Linked DNA regions of Canis lupus familiaris. The main gene of each other region encodes a partner of the protein of the gene in region 4 in a complex. Links are inferred from orthologs where the notes say so. Each region holds a gene or a part of one and is shown on either strand. Other genes may lie near its edges.

What was found.
Region 1: OGT (region 4) and PHF20 share a complex: the UniProt entries of both Homo sapiens proteins name them as parts of the NSL complex. The link is inferred for Canis lupus familiaris from reciprocal best matches to the Homo sapiens genes OGT and PHF20.
Region 2: OGT (region 4) and THAP3 share a complex: the UniProt entries of both Homo sapiens proteins name them as parts of the THAP1/THAP3-HCFC1-OGT complex. The link is inferred for Canis lupus familiaris from reciprocal best matches to the Homo sapiens genes OGT and THAP3.
Region 3: the proteins of OGT (region 4) and KRT7 are in contact, whole or in part, in a crystal structure (PDB 4XIF), measured with the Homo sapiens proteins. The link is inferred for Canis lupus familiaris from reciprocal best matches to the Homo sapiens genes OGT and KRT7. Residues at the interface, in NP_858058.1 of Homo sapiens: His506, His508, His509, Asn567, His568, Pro569, Tyr642, Thr643, Lys644, Gln849, Phe878, Val905, Ala906, Pro907; in NP_005547.3 of Homo sapiens: Val9, Phe10, Thr11, Ser12, Arg13, Ser14, Ala15.

What each region holds. Positions count from the first base shown.
Region 1 is NC_049245.1:25,186,044-25,190,679, reverse strand, and holds the start of PHF20 (PHD finger protein 20), read right to left. Parts: upstream 3,168-4,636; 5' UTR 3,037-3,167; intron 1-3,036. UniProt on the Homo sapiens protein: Methyllysine-binding protein, component of the MOF histone acetyltransferase protein complex.
Region 2 is NC_049226.1:60,925,095-60,930,044, reverse strand, and holds the start of THAP3 (THAP domain-containing protein 3), read right to left. Parts: upstream 3,212-4,950; 5' UTR 3,144-3,211; coding exon 3,070-3,143; intron 1,153-3,069; coding exon 960-1,152; intron 1-959. UniProt on the Homo sapiens protein: Component of a THAP1/THAP3-HCFC1-OGT complex that is required for the regulation of the transcriptional activity of RRM1.
Region 3 is NC_049248.1:43,837,403-43,840,662, reverse strand, and holds the end of KRT7 (keratin, type II cytoskeletal 7), read right to left. Parts: intron 1,627-3,260; coding exon 1,592-1,626; intron 1,237-1,591; coding exon 1,079-1,236; 3' UTR 874-1,078; downstream 1-873.
Region 4 is NC_049260.1:56,037,785-56,041,936, reverse strand, and holds part of OGT (UDP-N-acetylglucosamine--peptide N-acetylglucosaminyltransferase 110 kDa subunit), read right to left. Parts: intron 3,699-4,152; coding exon 3,540-3,698; intron 2,803-3,539; coding exon 2,713-2,802; intron 348-2,712; coding exon 222-347; intron 1-221. UniProt on the Homo sapiens protein: Catalyzes the transfer of a single N-acetylglucosamine from UDP-GlcNAc to a serine or threonine residue in cytoplasmic and nuclear proteins resulting in their modification with a beta-linked N-acetylglucosamine (O-GlcNAc).

The DNA.
Region 1 (4,636 bases), on a different chromosome or scaffold from region 4:
AAAATAATACCTCAGCATAAGGCTAACCACACCACCTATTTCCACAAAGATATCCTTGGCTTTGTGTATAGAACCTCACTACTCAGTGTAGTTCAGTAATATGGCCATCACCTGGGAATTAGAAATGCAGATCCAGAGGCTCCAACCTAAACCTACTGGATCAGAATTAGCATGTTAGCACGACCCTTCTCCCACAAGCAATTTATATGCACATTCAAGTTTGAGAAGCATGGACACAGAATACTTTAAAGGTGCACTGTATATAGCAGTACCAAGCAGATAAAATACCAGACAGGCGTATAAAGAGATGAAATATCTGTTCACTTTCTGTGTATCATATTTTATTAGGTACTGCTCAGACAGACCTCCAGTGTTTTTTATCAATTTGGTACTTATTAACCACCACATGATCTAAATGTGGGATCCATTTCACTTCCTGAAATAACACACCTTAGCTCTAGGGCTTTCATGACCATGAAAAATAAAACACTTAGTTGTTCTGAAAATATAGTAACGGTTAATTGTATTCAAGCTCCAACACTGAGTTCAGAGCACTTTTTCACAATCTCCATTAATTCCTACAGGTTCCTGCGAGTATCATTAAATCCTCCAGCATCCCTAAGAAGCAGGTGCTTGGCAAACATCCAATCTCCAAATGAGATTCAGAAGGAAGTGGTCCTGAAAATGCAGTACCTTCCTGCCTCATCCTGCCAGTGTAGCTTCTCAGGCCCAAACTCTCTCCCCCACTGAGGCCTCATACAGCTGCACACTCAAGTACTTCCCAAAAGGGAGAAAGGTCAGAAGTATCATTATCCCATAAGCACTTGGGATTCCAGCTGTGGAGAAATTAAGCCGGTTAGGGGCTCAGAGAAGCCCTGAGTAAGATCTGGAAAGACAGAGGGAAATACAAAAGAAAGAACCTACTGAGAGGCTTTTAAGAGACAAGAGGTCCCAGATATTTGGTGATTTTAAGATGGGGATTGGGAGCAAGGCTTGGCAGACATGTGAGAAAATGATAAGAGGTAAGTATCCATCCCCCACCTGCAACTCAGGGAAAATAACAAAAAGAGTGACAAAGAGATTCCTCCAAATGACCTATTTTCTTGATAAAAGGAAGGAAGAAAGCTAATGTAGGGAGGAAGTTTATGAGCTGGAAGACTGGAAGACTCTCTTCAGAATTTTTTCCCAATGGGGGTGGGGGAGGAGAGAAGCAAAGGAGAAAACAGTACACATCTAACCAGAATCTTATAGGAAGCAAACCACTGGAAGATTAAAAGTCCTGTGAATAACCAAAGAAATGTAAAGGGATTTCCTTTCCAGTTTAAATTCAGCGCTGGAGGGTCAAGCAGTCCTGGATCTGAGGCCAGCTCAAAGGGTAGAAAAGAGAAAAACTCTACAGACTCCAGTAAGCAGAGCACTGTCCAAAGGGAGTTAGAAACCAGAAAAAGGCAGAAAATGGGATAGGGCAAGCCAAGATAGAAGAGTTCCTGTTAGTAGAAAGCAAAAACATAAAAGGTAAAATAGATGTATGAAAGACAGCATGCAGGTACCCTTTAAGGGAGGGATCTTTCACTTGGGGGAGGGAAATTCAAGGTGTGACTATAGGAAGTGTGCTCAGAAAAAAGGCCACTGAAGCAGAGAAAATGCTGTGCTAAAGAAAGATAAGCATTCACCAGAGGAAGGAAGAGGAAATGGGTGCCCTGACCAAAGCAGGGAGAGCACCTAAAAGGGAAATGGGGTTCCAAAGAGGAAAGTAAACTGAGTAACGAAAATGTCTTGGATAAAAGAAAAGCTAAAAAGGATAGGAGGCATCATGCTCAAGAACCAGATATCATGGCGCAGGCCTGAGAGAACTTAGAAAAAATGTGTGCCCTCCCAGATTTAAGAATCATCAGGAAGGTGGCTGCAACCCAAGGACTGGGCAACCAAAAGGAGTGGATCCTGTACATTTTGGAAACACAGGAAACAAATACACTCTCAGATATGAACCTGAGTCTCCCCCAGGAAATAAAGTAGTTTAATTTGAGGAACTCATGAAAATGGGTGCAACCCCAAGAATACAGTGACTAGAAAAAGCAGTGAATTCCTTTATTTGTGCAACCGCAAATATCTACCTTTAAACTTCAGAATTTGGATCGCATTTTCAGTAGACTCTGGAAATAAGGAGCACCCCCAAGGGCTGGGGAAACGAAGCAGCCCCTAAATTTAAAAAATTTTGGAAAGCATTTGCAAGATCTGGGGCCAGGATAAGGAGATTCTTTCTTGGATATGTGGGAATAGAAGTATCCCCGAAACTTTGGCTACCGGACCCCAGATCTGAGAGTCAATTATGGAGCAAACCCCAAAATTTGAAAGGGAGTGCGTGTTCAGATTAGTGGCTCGGAAAAGGGAGTGTCCTCCCAGTTTGGGGGGGGGGGGTGCCTGGGAAATGGGATACATCCTCAGTTTGAGGGGCTTTGGAAATTAAGATAAAACCCCAGGGCTGGAGTTTAAGAAAGGGAGTGCACCACATTCTCTAAACTATAGAGAAAGGGGACACTCCCATAGTCAGGGGCTTGAGAAAGGGGTGTGCTCCCCAGAATAGGATAAAAGAGTCAATAAAAGAAAACGCATTCCCAAAGCACAAGGCAACAGCAGCGGCTGGAGGTGGAGCTCTCGGGGACCACGCAGCTCAGCCTCTCTCTAGCCCCAGCGCTTACCCCCCACCCCCAACGCGGCCCGCTCCGCGCCCCGAGCCCGCACCCCGCGGCCCAGCCCCCTCGGGCGGCGCTGATTGGCCGCGACCGCCGTCATTCCCTCGGGCAGCCCTGGGGATTGGGCGCCGCTCGCACGCCCGCCACGCTCTCAGCAGCGGTCCCCGGGCCTCCCTCCCGGCTGGGCGAGCGGGGCCGGGCGGAGAGCGAGGCCAGGCAGGGGACCGGGCAGCGGCGGCGGCCGTCTCCTCTGCCGCTGGCACGGCGCGCGCACGGCGCGGGCCCGGCCCAACCCGGCTCCGGCCCTCCGGCTTCTCCTCGCCGCGCCTCGTCGCGAGCTCACCTCACAGCCCCGCTCCGGCTGCGCCGCTCCAGGACCAACCGACAGAAGGACTCTGCGTGCTGCGCACCACGTGACCCCCGGGACGCGCCCAGCGTATCCCCCGCCCCCCCACACACACGCACCATCGCCACCACCGAGTGACGCAGCGCCCCAGCTGCCCCACCCACGGCCCCGCCCTGCTCGCTCCCCGTGGAGACGGCCCCGCGGCCACGCCCACTGCCCTGACGCGCGGGAACCAGGCCGGCGCCCTGATCCAGAGCACGAAGTCGCCACTCGTCAGGTAACACGAAGCCTGGGACTGGACACCCACGATCCATCACCTGTTAATTTTGCCTCCCAAGTGCATCTGGAAGCCCTTACTTCTTTCCGTCCCACTGCTGACACTCCAGTCTAGGCCCCCTCTCTCTTAGATGATGGTCGTGCCCTCCATCCCATTACCCTTTCCCCTTCCAAACCATTCTTCACACACAGTGGAAGCTTTTCAAAATTCAAATATAATCACAAACCCGGTTCTTCGGGTTGAAATCTTAATATCCCCCTGTAGCCTATCAACCAGGCTCTTCAAAGTCTAATAAATCCTAACCTGCCTCTCTCACAATCTCACACATCCTGCTTTCCCACGTTTTCCACCCCTTTCAAGTGCGCAAGCCAGGTTCCTTGACCCCTCAGGGTCTTTGCACTAATACCTCCTCCACTTTGCCTCATTAACTCCTTGGAAAGGATTCCAATTGCTGGTGTGGAGAGGAGCTGTATTTCGCCTCTGGGGACCAAGGTCGGAGTTGCAGCCACATCAAAAGAGTATGAAATGTTTTCCCAATAGGACTTGGGAAGTCCCAAGGAGATTGGCTAAACATTTGTTATTTGTGAGGGCAATGAGGACTTTAACTTACATTGAAAAGACAAAGCAGCCAGATTGTATTTTTTTTTAATATTTTATTTATTCATGAGAGACTGAGAGAGAAAGAGAGAGAGGCAGAGACACAGGCAGAGGGAGAAGCAGGCTCCCTGCAGGGAGCCCGATGTGGGACTTGATTCTTGATTTCAGCTCAGGTCATGATCTAAGTCGGGGGATTCGAGCCCCCTGTCAGGCTCTGTGTTCAGCATAGAGTCTTCATGTCCCTCTCCCTCTGCTCCGCCTCTCTCTCAAAGAAATAAAATATTTTTTAAAATGTAAATCTAATCATGTCACCACCCTACTTAAAACAGCCAATCTGTTCACCTGAATCCTTCACCCTTGCTTGTCCTCTAGGTATATTGACTTTCTCTCAGTTTCTAGGATTCTTCCTACATTCTTTCCAGCTGCTGGCTCATCGCATAGGCAAAAAAGCTTTGCTTTTTTGCAAAGCTGACTCTTCATCATGCAAGGTCTATTTGTCATCTCCTTGGTGAGACTCTCTGTAGCTACATAATGTAGAAGTGCTTCAGTTGATCAAATGCCTGCGCCATGACAATTACTCTCTACCTTTTCACTATTCATTTTCAACAGAGCATTAACACAGTTTTGTTTCATTTATTCTCTTGATTGTATTTGTTTCCTGAATTAGAGTGAGGAACTATTTTATTTATATCAACTGAATTGTCAAATCTGGCAAATAATAGA
Region 2 (4,950 bases), on a different chromosome or scaffold from region 4:
ATCACCTTCAGCTCAGGTCATGATCCCAGGGTCCTAGGATGGAGCCCCACATCGGGCTCCCTGCTCAGCGGGGAACCCGCTTCTCTCTCTCCCTCTGCCTGCCACTTTCCCTGCTTGTGCACACTCCACCCTCCCACCATGTCAAATAAATAAATACAATCCTCAGCAGCTTTTGGTTGTAAAGTGTGATGGGGGGGGGGGGGGGCGCGCACAGAGGGAGGGAAATAAAGGGGGAGGGAGGGAGGGAGGGAGAGAGGGAGAAAAAGAACACTCAACAGAGCCCCACTTTGGGCTTGATTCCACAACACTGAGGTCATGACCTGAGCCAAAACCAAGAGCCGATGCTTAACAGACTGAGCCACCCAGGCGCCCCATGCCTGATACATTTTTTTTTTTTAAGATTTTATTTATTTATGAGAGAGAGAGGCAGAAACACAGGCAGAGGGAGAAGGGGAGAAGCAGGCTCCACGCAAGGAGCCTGATGTGGGACTCAATCCCGGGCCTCCAGGATCACGCCCTGGGCTGAAGGCGGTGCTAAACCGCTGAGCCACCCGGGCTACCCGCCTGATACATTTTTAAAGGGGCTTTAGGGCAGCCCGGATGGCTTAGCGGTTTAGCGCCGCCTTCAACCCAGGGCCTGATCCTGGGAATCCGGGATCGAGTCCTGCGTCAGGCTCCCTGCATGGAGCCTGCTTCTCCCTCTGCCTGTGTCTCTGCCTCTCTGTCTCTCACTCATAAATAAATAAAAAATATTTTAAAAAAATAAATAAAGGGGCTTTAAATTATAAGTTACCTAAAGCAAAGGTCACAGCCAGCAGGACCACCGGGCTCTGGACCCCAGGGGCCTGACAGCGCTGCCCTCCCTGCACTCGTCAGCCTCCGCCCCCACTGCCCCTGCAAACACCTGCACGGGCGCCCTGGAGGCCTGAGTGGAGATGTAACGACAGTGGTGTGTTCACCTGCGTGGCGTCCTGAAAGGCAAACACGGTGGGCACAGCATTCTGCTTCAGGTTTTTGCGGTTTCCAAAGGCGCTGAAGCACTCGGGCCGGAAGTGCTCTGAGCAGATGACCGTGTGCTGCTTGGGCTTGAAGTTGGCCCGGCCGATGTTCAGCACCCATTCCTTCAGCAGCTCCGGGCGGCTGAATGGGAACCTGGGAAGCAAAGGAGGGAGACATAGAGGAATCTGCGAAGCTCAAGTCAACACCGTGGGGTTCGCTGCAATTCTGAAAATACCACATGGTATTTTACCAGACAGCTTCGAAAATTGAGTAACTCTGTTAAACTACATCCTATTTCTGGAAGCTTCTGTCATGCCAGTTTACAGTATCCTTAGTGTGCAATGTGAGGCCATGAACGTGGCCAGAAAGCCTTCCAAAGGCTTTGGTCCATTAGTCTTTGAGTACTCAAAGGCTGAGCCAGTGTCCATTCCCCCAGGGATGGCCCTGTCCCAGGCACTGGGATGTGGGAAGGAACAAACAGCCCCACCCTCGGAGAGCCTACATTCTAGAACAGGAAAACAGACAGCAGACCCAACAGATACAGAACTGTGTAGGAATAAAGAGTAGGGGGCATCTCGGTGACTCAGTGCTTGAGCATCTGCCTTTGGCTCAGGTCATGATCCCGGGGTCCTGGGATGGAGTCCCACATCGGACTCCTCATGGGGAGCCTGCTTCTCCCTCTGCCTGTGTCTCTGCCTCTCTTCTGTGTCTCTCATGAATAAATACATAAATGATCTTTTAAAAACAAATGAATAAAGGGAGGCAGTGGTCATGAAGGCCTCTTGGGAGGTGACATCTGAGCAGAGGCTGCAAGAAGCAGGAGAGCCAGCCAACGTTGTTGTCTTATCAGAAGGAAGAGCAAGAATAAAGGCACTGGGATGCACCCAGCATGTTGGGGGCACAGCCAGAGGTGGGTTTGGCTGAGAGGGCTGAGCAGGAGTCATGGGCCTGTCATGGCCAAAATACGGGAACACCCAAATGCCCTTTCCTTCTAGAACAAGTCAATTCTGGCATATTCATTCAGCAGAGGACCTCAAGAGATGGGGAGGAAGGCAGGGCAGCCACTCCAAGTACAGGTGACTTCATAAACATGAGCAAAAGACACAAGAAAGCACAGCATAGGACTTGGTGTGTCAAGTTCAACCCAAGCCAGAGCACCGGGCTCGGACAGAAGGCAGGATGCGGGCCACTCTGGGGGATGTCCGGGGGTGGGGGAGGGGATTCCCCAGGGGCTGATGTTCTGGTTCACAGTCACACAGGTGTTCACTTTGCGGAATGGCCTGGGCCATGGAATTATCATTTGTGTGCTTTTCTGTAGGTCTACTTCAATAAAAACCTTCACTTGGGAGAAGGAAAATGGTGATGGGAGGGGCGGTGGAGACAGTGCAGCTGGCCTTGGGGGTCGCGCTCTAGGCGGCGGTGGCTGGAAGCTGCGTTCTCCCGGGCAGGGGCCGGGCCGGGACCCGGGACAGGGGCCCAGGGCCGACACGCTGCGAGCGCCGGGAGCGCGAGGACAGGCTCCAAGCCTCCCGCCCGGGCTGCAGGGCTGCAGGGCTGCAGGGCTGCAGGGCTGCAGGGCCGGCCGCGCTCCCCAACACCCTGGAACGTTCTCAGGGCTCCGCTCCCCAGCTTCCTGACCCGAGGCCTGGCCGGGGCGAACCCCCCGCGTCACCACCACTCATTCATTCGGAGACGCATTCAGCCCGCACGCACGGAGCACCAGCCGCGTTCCAGGCTGCATCTGAGAACAAGATCGGGTCTCGGGGAGGGACTGACACCCCAGGACTGCGGACCCGGCGACCCACCCCGGCCTCCTCCGCAAGCGACCGCCCCAGCCGACGTGGGGGTAAGGCTGTGCGCCTTGGGCAGGTTGCTCGGCCTCTCCGATCGTCTCCCCACGAGCCCAGGCCGCGGGGCATCCCCCTGTCCCCGGGCCGCCGGCCCCTCCGCGGAGGACCCGGCTGCACGCCCTTGGCCGTCCCCGCCCGGCGCGCCAGGCCTCGGGCTCCCAGGGGCGCCAGGCGGGTCGGCAGCCGGGCCCCCGCGCCCCACGGCGCCCCTGCCCCTCACCGGTGGAAGGTGAGCTGCTTCCTGCGGCTGCTGTAGCGGTTGCAGCACTGCCGGGCCGCGCACGACTTCGGCATCTCCGGACGCCAGGCCCAGCTGCCCCTAACAAAGATGGCGGCGGCGGGCCGGCGGACCCGAGCGGGAGCTGCGGGGGGAGGGGCCAGCGAGCGGGGCGGGGCCGGCGAGCGGGGCGGGGCCTGCGGACCCGAGCGGGGCTACCCGAGACAGGGCTAGCGGGCGGGGCGGAGCCTCACAGGGCACAGCCAGGCCTGCGGACTGGAGCGGGGCCACGGGGGGCGGGGTCCGGCGAGCGAGGCGGGGCCAGCAGGCCGGCTGGGGCCTGCCCGGCACTGGAGGCCTGAAGACCCGAGCGGGGCCACGGGGGGCGGGGCCAGCGGGGCCAGGCCGGGGCCTGCGGGCGGGGCGGGGCGGGGAGGGGCGGAAGGCGGGGCTGCCTCCGCTCTGCTCCGGGGTCAACTCCCTGGGCGCTCCCTGCGGACCCGCAAGTCAGGTGGACTCCGGAGTATCACGACTAGAGGTGCTCCCGGGCCCCACCCAGGCCCGACGCCCCTAACAGCGCCTCCGGCGCAAGCTCCACCCGTTCGCGAAGCCCGGGGCCCTCACCTCCTTGCTTTGAGGAGCCAAGACACACCCACCAACAGCCTTGAACACCTGGATACCACAGACGGCTCACAGCCCAACCTGGCCAGGATCTCCGAGGTTTTAAGAGGTGTTGATACTAGGTTTTGGCTGCTCAGAAAGGAGGTACTAGGTGACCACTAGTTGGTCCCAGATTAGAGGTGGGCAGACACAGCTCAAAGAAAAGGCAGGGGCAGTGGGGACCCCCAAGTGTAAAGGGACAGAATGAGCACCTCTGGGAGACTGCAAACCTGCTTGCAGAACCTCGGAGGAGACTGCAGCTTTTTTTTTTTTTTTTTTTTAATTTTTATTTATTCATGATAGTCACAGAGAGAGAAAGAGAGAGGCAGAGACATAGGCAGAGGGAGAATGAGACTGCAGCTTTTAACAAAGCAGGTAACTACTCACTGGGATTTAAGCCAATCCACAGCATGATGAAACTGTGAAAGCGATTCATGTCTATTCATACTGTGGTTTGATCCTGGAGAATTTACTAGAAAAGTAAATGAAGAGTTGTGGGCACTTTATCTCCCCAGGTCTCTGTCATCCCGGTTTGGGGGTGATGAAGGGAGGAGAAAAACCATTGTCCACCCCCACAGAAAACAAACACCTGAAGCTAGGCATGAACCTCAAAGTAGCAATATATTTATTTACAAAATATACAGTTTCACAGAAACAGCTTCGCTTTATACACATAAACTTTATAATTACACAGAACCATGTAAACGATGTTAAGTGTCTGGCCTGGCCAATGCCAATGAGAGGTGCTTACTTTTGGGGTGACATCTTTCCCTCTCCTCACTTTATTAGCCACCAACCAGGAGCCCCTAGATGGGCCATGCCTAATTTGCATAAAGCTGATTGCAGCTGCCCAGCTCAAGTGAACACAAAAACCAAGGTGTCTTGAATTCCTAGACACCACCCACAGGGATAGATAGATCTGTTAAAAGAACAAAAAGGAAATGAAGGAAACAGATCGAAATGATTATCAAGTACCTTCCAGAGGTGTCACCAGGCATAGAACTTTCTAAAAGCAATACAGCAATCGCCAGGGCTGGCAGTTCCACTCTAAAATCACATGTATTCTTAAATGCACTTTTAAAACTTAGTGGAGGTTTTTTGTTTTTGTTTTTTAAAAGAAAAACACTTTGGAACTTTGGCTATTCTCATGGTGAAGACACTGGACAGGCAATGTCATGGGGCAGATCTTTGGCAAATTCCTCTCCAACTTTTCCTGGACGTTTG
Region 3 (3,260 bases), on a different chromosome or scaffold from region 4:
ACGGGATCAAATACAGACTTCCCCTCCCCCGGAAACTGACGCTCTCTTGATCGCTCCCCACCCACCCACCAGCACCACCATCACCCCCCGATCCCCGTTCCCAGGCACAGAGACCTCCCCACTATCCATCATGTGTGCTGCTGCCCACCAAGAACAGACATCCCCAACACAGAGCACAAAAACACCCCCACACTTACACACGCAGACCCCCCCCATGTCAGACACCCTGACACACCGATGTTCTTATCAAGCAGACGACACCCAGATGCCCCTCCCCCTGCCAGGGATCCAGAGCCGCAGCCCATGGACCTGGCACCGAGCCTCCCGCCATGGAGCTAGACCCTGGACCTCCTCACCCTACCCCCTCCCAAAGGCACACAGACCTCCTCCCGCTGCCATCACCACCCCCACGAGTCCCAGACCCAGAGAGCTCCCTCCAGGGCCCAAGGGCCAGGCGGACCCAACACCTGCAAGGACCAACTGGCCTGGGAGTTGGCTGGTGTGCCCAGGCCTATGGCAGCTGAACGTCTGGGGCCTCCTCACACCAAGGAAGGTACTCGGCAGCACAGACACAGGGGTCGGGATTGTGCAAACAGCCCTCCCACTCCCTCAGCAGGAGAGGACTTCAGTGCCCCCTCCCTGGCAGAGCCAGACTTCCCTGGGTTTCAGGAGAGGGGTTGGACTCAGCCCCAGCTCTGGGAGGAGGCCAAGGCCTTATAGGACTGAGAGCCATGCCCCGAAGGGTCCACCACACGCACCAACGGGCTTTCCCAGCTGCCTGCACAAAGGCCTTCTCAGTATTCAGAGCAGACCCTATATGCTCTCGAAGGCCCCTTCCTCCCCAACCCTTTCCACCAGCTTATGAAGCCAGGATTCCAGGTACCAAGGTGGGCCTCACCCAGGCTTCGGAAAGGCTGCTTTATTAGAAGCTCTTCTTTTTCTCTTTTTTTTTTTTAGCTCTTCTGACATCATTTTCAGACTGCCTGGAAGTCTTGGTATCAGGGATGGGAGCCCTCATGTGACTGGGGGGCTAGAGGGGGGTGGGTAGGTAGGGGTACAGGTCTCCGCACACCGCAGCTCATTTCCGAATGCTCCTATGGGTGGCAGCTGAGGTCCTGATGGAATAGGACCTGAAGGCACCAGGTCCGCCGCCGCTGGAGAAGCTCAGGGCATTGCTGCCCATGGTCCCCCCGAAGCTCAGGCCGCTGCCGCCTCCGCCAGTGGAGTTCACCACAGCTGGGAGAAAAGGGAGGAGGGCTCCATCAGCACGAGGCCCATCCCTCACTCCACCCTACTCTCCCTCCCCACTGCCTCTCCTCCTCAGCACCCTCCGCAGGCCAGCCCAGAAGGAGCCCGCGCCAGCCACAGGGGCTGCACCACGGATGCCCCACGCCCCGCTCTGCCCTCTTGCACGGCTTCCCTGGGCCTTTGAGCCTGACGGGCTGGGAGCTCCAGGGCACCTGCTAAAAGCCCATAAGGGAAAGAAGAAGCTCCTGGGCAGGACAAGGCCAGGCCCTCGGGCCAGCGTGCCATCCTGCAGGCCCAGCCTGGTCTAGACAGCACAGGAGAAGGGCCACAGCCAAGGACTTACAGATGTTCACGGCTCCCACGCCATCTCCGGCCAACCTGGGGGCAGAGGAGAGACCTGTGAGAGCAGCTCTTTCCTCAGAGCAGGAGGAGGCAGTCCTGGGCCCCCTCCATCCAGGAGCCGCGCAGGGCTGATATTCCTTCCCCTGCCCCACACATTAGTCCTCAGCCTCATTGCAAAATAAGGGGATGGGTGGGGAGGAGGTTCACTTAGGCCCTCCTGGTACTGGCCACGTGACCTTGGGCCATGTCCCAAAGCCTCCATTTCCTCACCTATAAACTGAGCCTAACTTAGTCCGGGCCTCACAGGGTCGGTCGTGAGGCTGGATCACGTAACTGCGCTGGAGCCCTGGGCGCACGGGAGTCCATGAGGGGTAGCCGGGATTACTTCTGAGGACAGCTGCCTCCCCCGACCAAATCACAAACCCTCAACGCGGGCTGGAGCTTACGGATGCCTGGCCATCCGGCCCTAGCGGGAGGTGTGGCGTGGAGCCATCATCCGCTATGGAGTGAAATAACTCGAGAATTGCTGCTTTCGGGAACGCAGCTACGGCGGGGACTGCGGAGGCCGCAGAGGCAGATGCGGCCACTCTCAGGGCCCGGCTGGAGATGGAAAAGCCACGGGACAGTTGGGCGTGTTTGTTTTATGACTCACGGCTCCATTGTCACCGCGCCCTTGGCCTTGAGGTTGAGTTTACTCTGCAGTGGGGAGGGGGGACCTCACTTTGATAGAGGGATGAGGGGAGCCCAGCTGACGTCATCAGCCCTAAGTTCAGGAAGAGGACAGAGCGAAGGACAAGGGCAAGAGGCGGATGTGCCAGGAGGCTTCCAAGCCCCTTGTTCAACTGGCCCCTGCAAGCGCTGGGAGTCGCTGGCCGTTGCGGGCCCCTGGGAGGAAGGGGATGGGGCCCCACTATAAGAGTCCCCAGCTCTGGTTCTAGCAGGAAAAGAGGTCCAGGGTTTGCATTCCCAAGAAAGCATGGCCCCTGCACCCATGCTGGCAGAGGGTGCAGAGCGAGGCAGCACGGCCGGGACAGGTGGGCTCTCGGGCCACCCTGTGCCCCAGATCAGCGGCTCTCTCTTCCCAGAGGCCTCTGCCGTTCAATTCCTCTTCCCACAAAGCCCAGGTGCCAACCCCAGCAAGAGATGGGTCAACTGCTGTGGCAGAGACCCTTCCGCCTCCCCTTCCCCAACCCATTTCCTGCAGCCATGATTCTTCTCTGCCTCCTTCCTGGAGTCAGGCACTCTGCCCTAGCATTCCCCAGTGCCCCAGCTCCTTCCTGTCGACTCCATCAGAAGCAGCCTGCCTCCCCCGCCCCTCAGGAAAAAATGCTCCCAAAAGAAAAAGTTCTGTGTAAATTTAGCATTTCATAAATGGTCTCTATTATGAGTGCTTCCTAGGTGCTTCCTTTACAAATGTTTGGTGCCCCCCGGCCCACGTGCAAGCCCCCCGAGGGCAGGAGCCTATCTTACACCTTATCTATCTCCATGCTGGGTTCCAACAAGCCAAGCCCTGATGGGGCCTACTTCCAAGCCTTGGCCATGCTGTTCCCTCTCACCCTCTCCAAACCTTAACCTTCGCCGAGGGCACAACTCTACAGCCTTGCAGATTGAATGAATCAATCAACCATCAGGGTGAGAATGAAAGCCCAACTGCACGGACAGAGGGTCCA
Region 4 (4,152 bases):
TGTCTCTGCCCCTCTCTATGTATCGCTCATGCATAAATAAAAATCTTTAAAAATAAAAAATAATAAAATTCATTGTCCCTGTGCATTTCAAGAACTATACTTTTATTAAGTCAAGCATATCTGCCCTATTGTTTTAAATGCCAAGCAACTGGAGGGTGGAAAAAAATCACCATCTTTATAGCTTAATAAACATTGTAAGCAATTACTATTAGTTCCTTTACCTGAATAGGAGCAGGCCTGAGAGCAAAGAGTTCATTTCGAGCACCCTTGGTATAACCATTCATATTGACAAGGATGTGTATACCATCCTGATGGATGCGATCAGCTGCTTTTCCATTGCATGGAATCTATGCAATAAAAAACAGAACTCACTATGTATAATCTCAAACTAATTCAATAAGTTTTAATGGCATTAAATAGAATTCAGAGTCACAGGTACAAAACATAGTAAGAAGACAAATTACATTTATGCAGTATAAAAATATGGTTAAGTCATGAGAGACTCCTGACTCTGTGAAACACAGGGTTGCAGAATGGGAGGTCAGTGGGGGGGTAGAATAACTGGGTGATAGGCATTAAGGAGGGCATATGATGTGATGAGCACTTAGTGTTACGCTATATGTTGGCAAATTGAATTTAAATTTAAAAAATGTGGGGATCCCTGGGTGGCTCAGCGGTTTAGCGCCTGTCTTTGGCCCAGGGCATGATCCTGGAGTCCCGGGATCGAATCCCACATCGGGCTCCTTGCACGGAGCCTCCTTTTCCCTCTGCTTCTCTCTCATGAATAAATAAAAATCAATCAATCAATCAATCAATAAATTTATTTTTTAAATGTTGGGATGCCTGAGTGATTCAGTGGTTGAGCATCTGCCTTCAGCTCAGGACGTGATCCCCAGATCCTGGGATCGAGTCCCACATCAGGCTCCCCATGCAGAACCCTCTCCCTAGGTCTCCACCTCACTCATGAATGGGTCTCTCATAAATATATAAAATCCTAAAAAATAAATTTTTAAAACGTTAATAAAAAATTTTTCATTAAAAAAATATGTTGGGCAGCCCCGGTGGCCCAGTGGTTTAGCACCGCCTTCAGCCTGGGGTGTGATCCTGGAGACCCGGGATCGAGTCCCGCGTTGGGCCCCCTGCACGGAGCCTACTTCTCCCTCTGCCTGTGTCTCTGCCTCTCTCTCTCTCTCTCTCTGTCATGAGTAAAAAAATTAAATCTTTAAAAATAAAAAAATAAAAAATAAAAAAAATAAAAAAATATGTTTAAGTGCCATTAAAATGGGCCTAAAACATTACAGAAATAGAATACACAGGAAAGAGAATTTACTTCTAGATTGAATGCATGAATAACAAGGCTTCATAGAGGAGCTGGATTTTGAAATGGGCCTTCAAAGATGGATAAGCACTTGAGGCAGTTGGACAGAACAGAATCTCAATAGAGAACAGTACGAATATGGAATGCCTGGGTGGCTCAGCAGCTGAACATCTGCCTTAGGCTCAGGGCATGATCCTGGAGTCCTGGGATCAAGTCCCACATCAGGGTCCCTGCATGGAGCCTGCTTCTTCCTCTGCCTATATCTCTGCCTCTCTGTGTGTCTCTCATGAATAAATAAAATCTTAAAAAAAAGACAGTACAAATAAAGAACCCGGGTAAAGTGCACAGATTTTTAAAATATTGAGTAGATCACTTCTATTTGGTACAGAGTATATATGAGGGCAAATGGGAGGTGAAAAGTATTGGCAAACATGGTTGTGCTCAGACTTAAGACTGTGAAGGCTGGGGCGCCTGGGTGGCCCAGTCGGTTAAGCATCAGCCCTTGATTTCAGCTCAGACATGATCTCAGGGTAGTGAGATGGAGCCCTGTGTTGTGCTTCTTGCTCAGCATGGAGTCCACTTGAGATCCTCTCCCACTGGCCCTTCCCCAGCTCGAGCTCTCACTTTCCCTCTCCAAAATAAATAAAATCTTTGGAGGGGGGAAAAAAAGACTGTGAAGGCCATGCTGAAGAGTTTAGACTCCGGTCACTAAGTAGAGTCCCTTAATTATCTCAAAGGTGGAAGGCAGTATGGTTCTTGTCATGAAGAGTCCAAATCCTGCATTGGTTGAGTATAGTCTCAAAGCAACAGTTACATTGCCAAAGATGTTGGTACACACCATTCATTAAATGACAAGAATGTCACAACCCTTTTGCTAGAACTTCAATGATTCATGTATCAATTACTAGATATACCATACACTGCATATCTCTATTAGTCACCAAAGTGGCCCAGAGTCCATAAAAAACCTCTACACTCACCAAATTAATTCCTCCACAGCTTTCAATCTTAATTTATCATAAAATTTATGCTCCTAGAAATAGCAACAGAACAAGTATAGAAATAAAGATAACCAAAGGCAAAGGCCCACAAAAATAGATTTAACCATGATGAACCACAGTTTCTATTTTAAGTAACCTACCTAATCCTCTTCCAAGCCACCATTTCCTAGAAGAGTTTTACATCCAAGCACAAAGAGACCCCATTTCTATTTCATTTGCAACCTCAACACAATCCATGCTCATTATAAATGATGAAGGAAATAAGATCAAAGTAATTGTCCATATGTAGTGGCTGATATAAATACCTATTATGAAAAATACAAGCTACACACCAATAGTTTCATTCGCTATTTGCTCAAAATTAAAAGTCTGAAGTATAGGAGTTTCACCTACCTGAGAAAGATCAATGAAATGATTGGCTTCTGCCATAACTTTCACTCTGAAGTTTGTGCCATCATCTGGGCTCAGGGCATAACAGAATACCTGAAAGGCAGCACACGATATGTTTAAAAACCTTGGCTCAACAAGATATGCAAGCAACCTCTTAAGTGTCCATCAACAGATGAATGGATAAAGAATTTGCCGAGGGTGTGTGCGTATATATGTGTAGCCATGGAACCATAAAAAAGAATGAAATCTTGCCATTCATAACATGGATGGGCCTAGAGAATATTATGCTAAGTGAAATAAGACAAAGACAAACACCATATGCTCTCACTTATATACAGAATCTATAAAACAAAACAAGTAAAAAACACATAGAAACAGACTCATAAGTACAGAGAACAAAACTGGTGGTTGCCAGAAGGGAAGGGGGTGAGGAGAATGAGTTAAACAGGTAAAGGGGATTAAGATGTACAAACTTCCAACGAACAGTTGGAACTTAACAAGTCACAGGGATGAAAAGTGCAGCACAGGGAATACAGTCAATAATGTTTATAAGTTTGTATGGTAATAATCAGTAACCACACTGCTGTGGTGAGCATTTTGTAGTGAATACAATTGTGAAATCACTAAGTTGTACATCTTAAACTAATGTAATACCATATGTCAACTGTATTTCAAACAGAAAACTAAATTTTAAACTAAGTAAAAACTTTGGTTCAAATCTTTCAAAGACACTGGGATGAACACCCAATGGTGATGCTAAAACCAGAAATGGTTTATTTGTTGTTTTTTCTAAACAGAACATGGTGTCTCTAGGGAAACACTAGCCTTACCTCAAATTTATCAGGATTGTGCATGCCTGGAATAGACTGCATAAGGTGAGAAGTAGGATGATTCCCAAAGTCAGAACTCACATATCCTACACGCAGTCGACCATCACTAAGCTTCAAGTCTTTTGGATGTTCGTATGGTGGTTTATGAAGGACGTTAATCTATCAACAGAAAGCAATGTTTGTTAGTACAGTTGAATCTGTACATAAATATTCATCTAGGAAAATTAAAAACAAAACAAACTTCTACTTCACACTTGTTGGGAATGGTTTGCCCAGAATACTTCTTTTAAGTCATACAGCCAATTCAATGCAAACTTAGCAGTTTATATAATACGCTCCATACTCTGACCTGTTCCTGAGACCTACAAAATCTAAAACTTGGAAACAGGGGATCCCTGGGTGGCTCCGTGGTTTAGCGCCTGCCTTCAGTCCAGGGCATGATCCCGGAGTCCCGGGATCGAGTCCCACATCGGGCTCCCTGAATGGAGTCTGCCTCTCCCTCTCCCTCTGCCTGTCTCTGCCTCTCTGCCCTCTGTATCTCTCATGAATTAAGAAATAAAATCTTTAAATCAATCAATCAATCTTGGAAACAGGGACACCTGGGTGGCTCAGC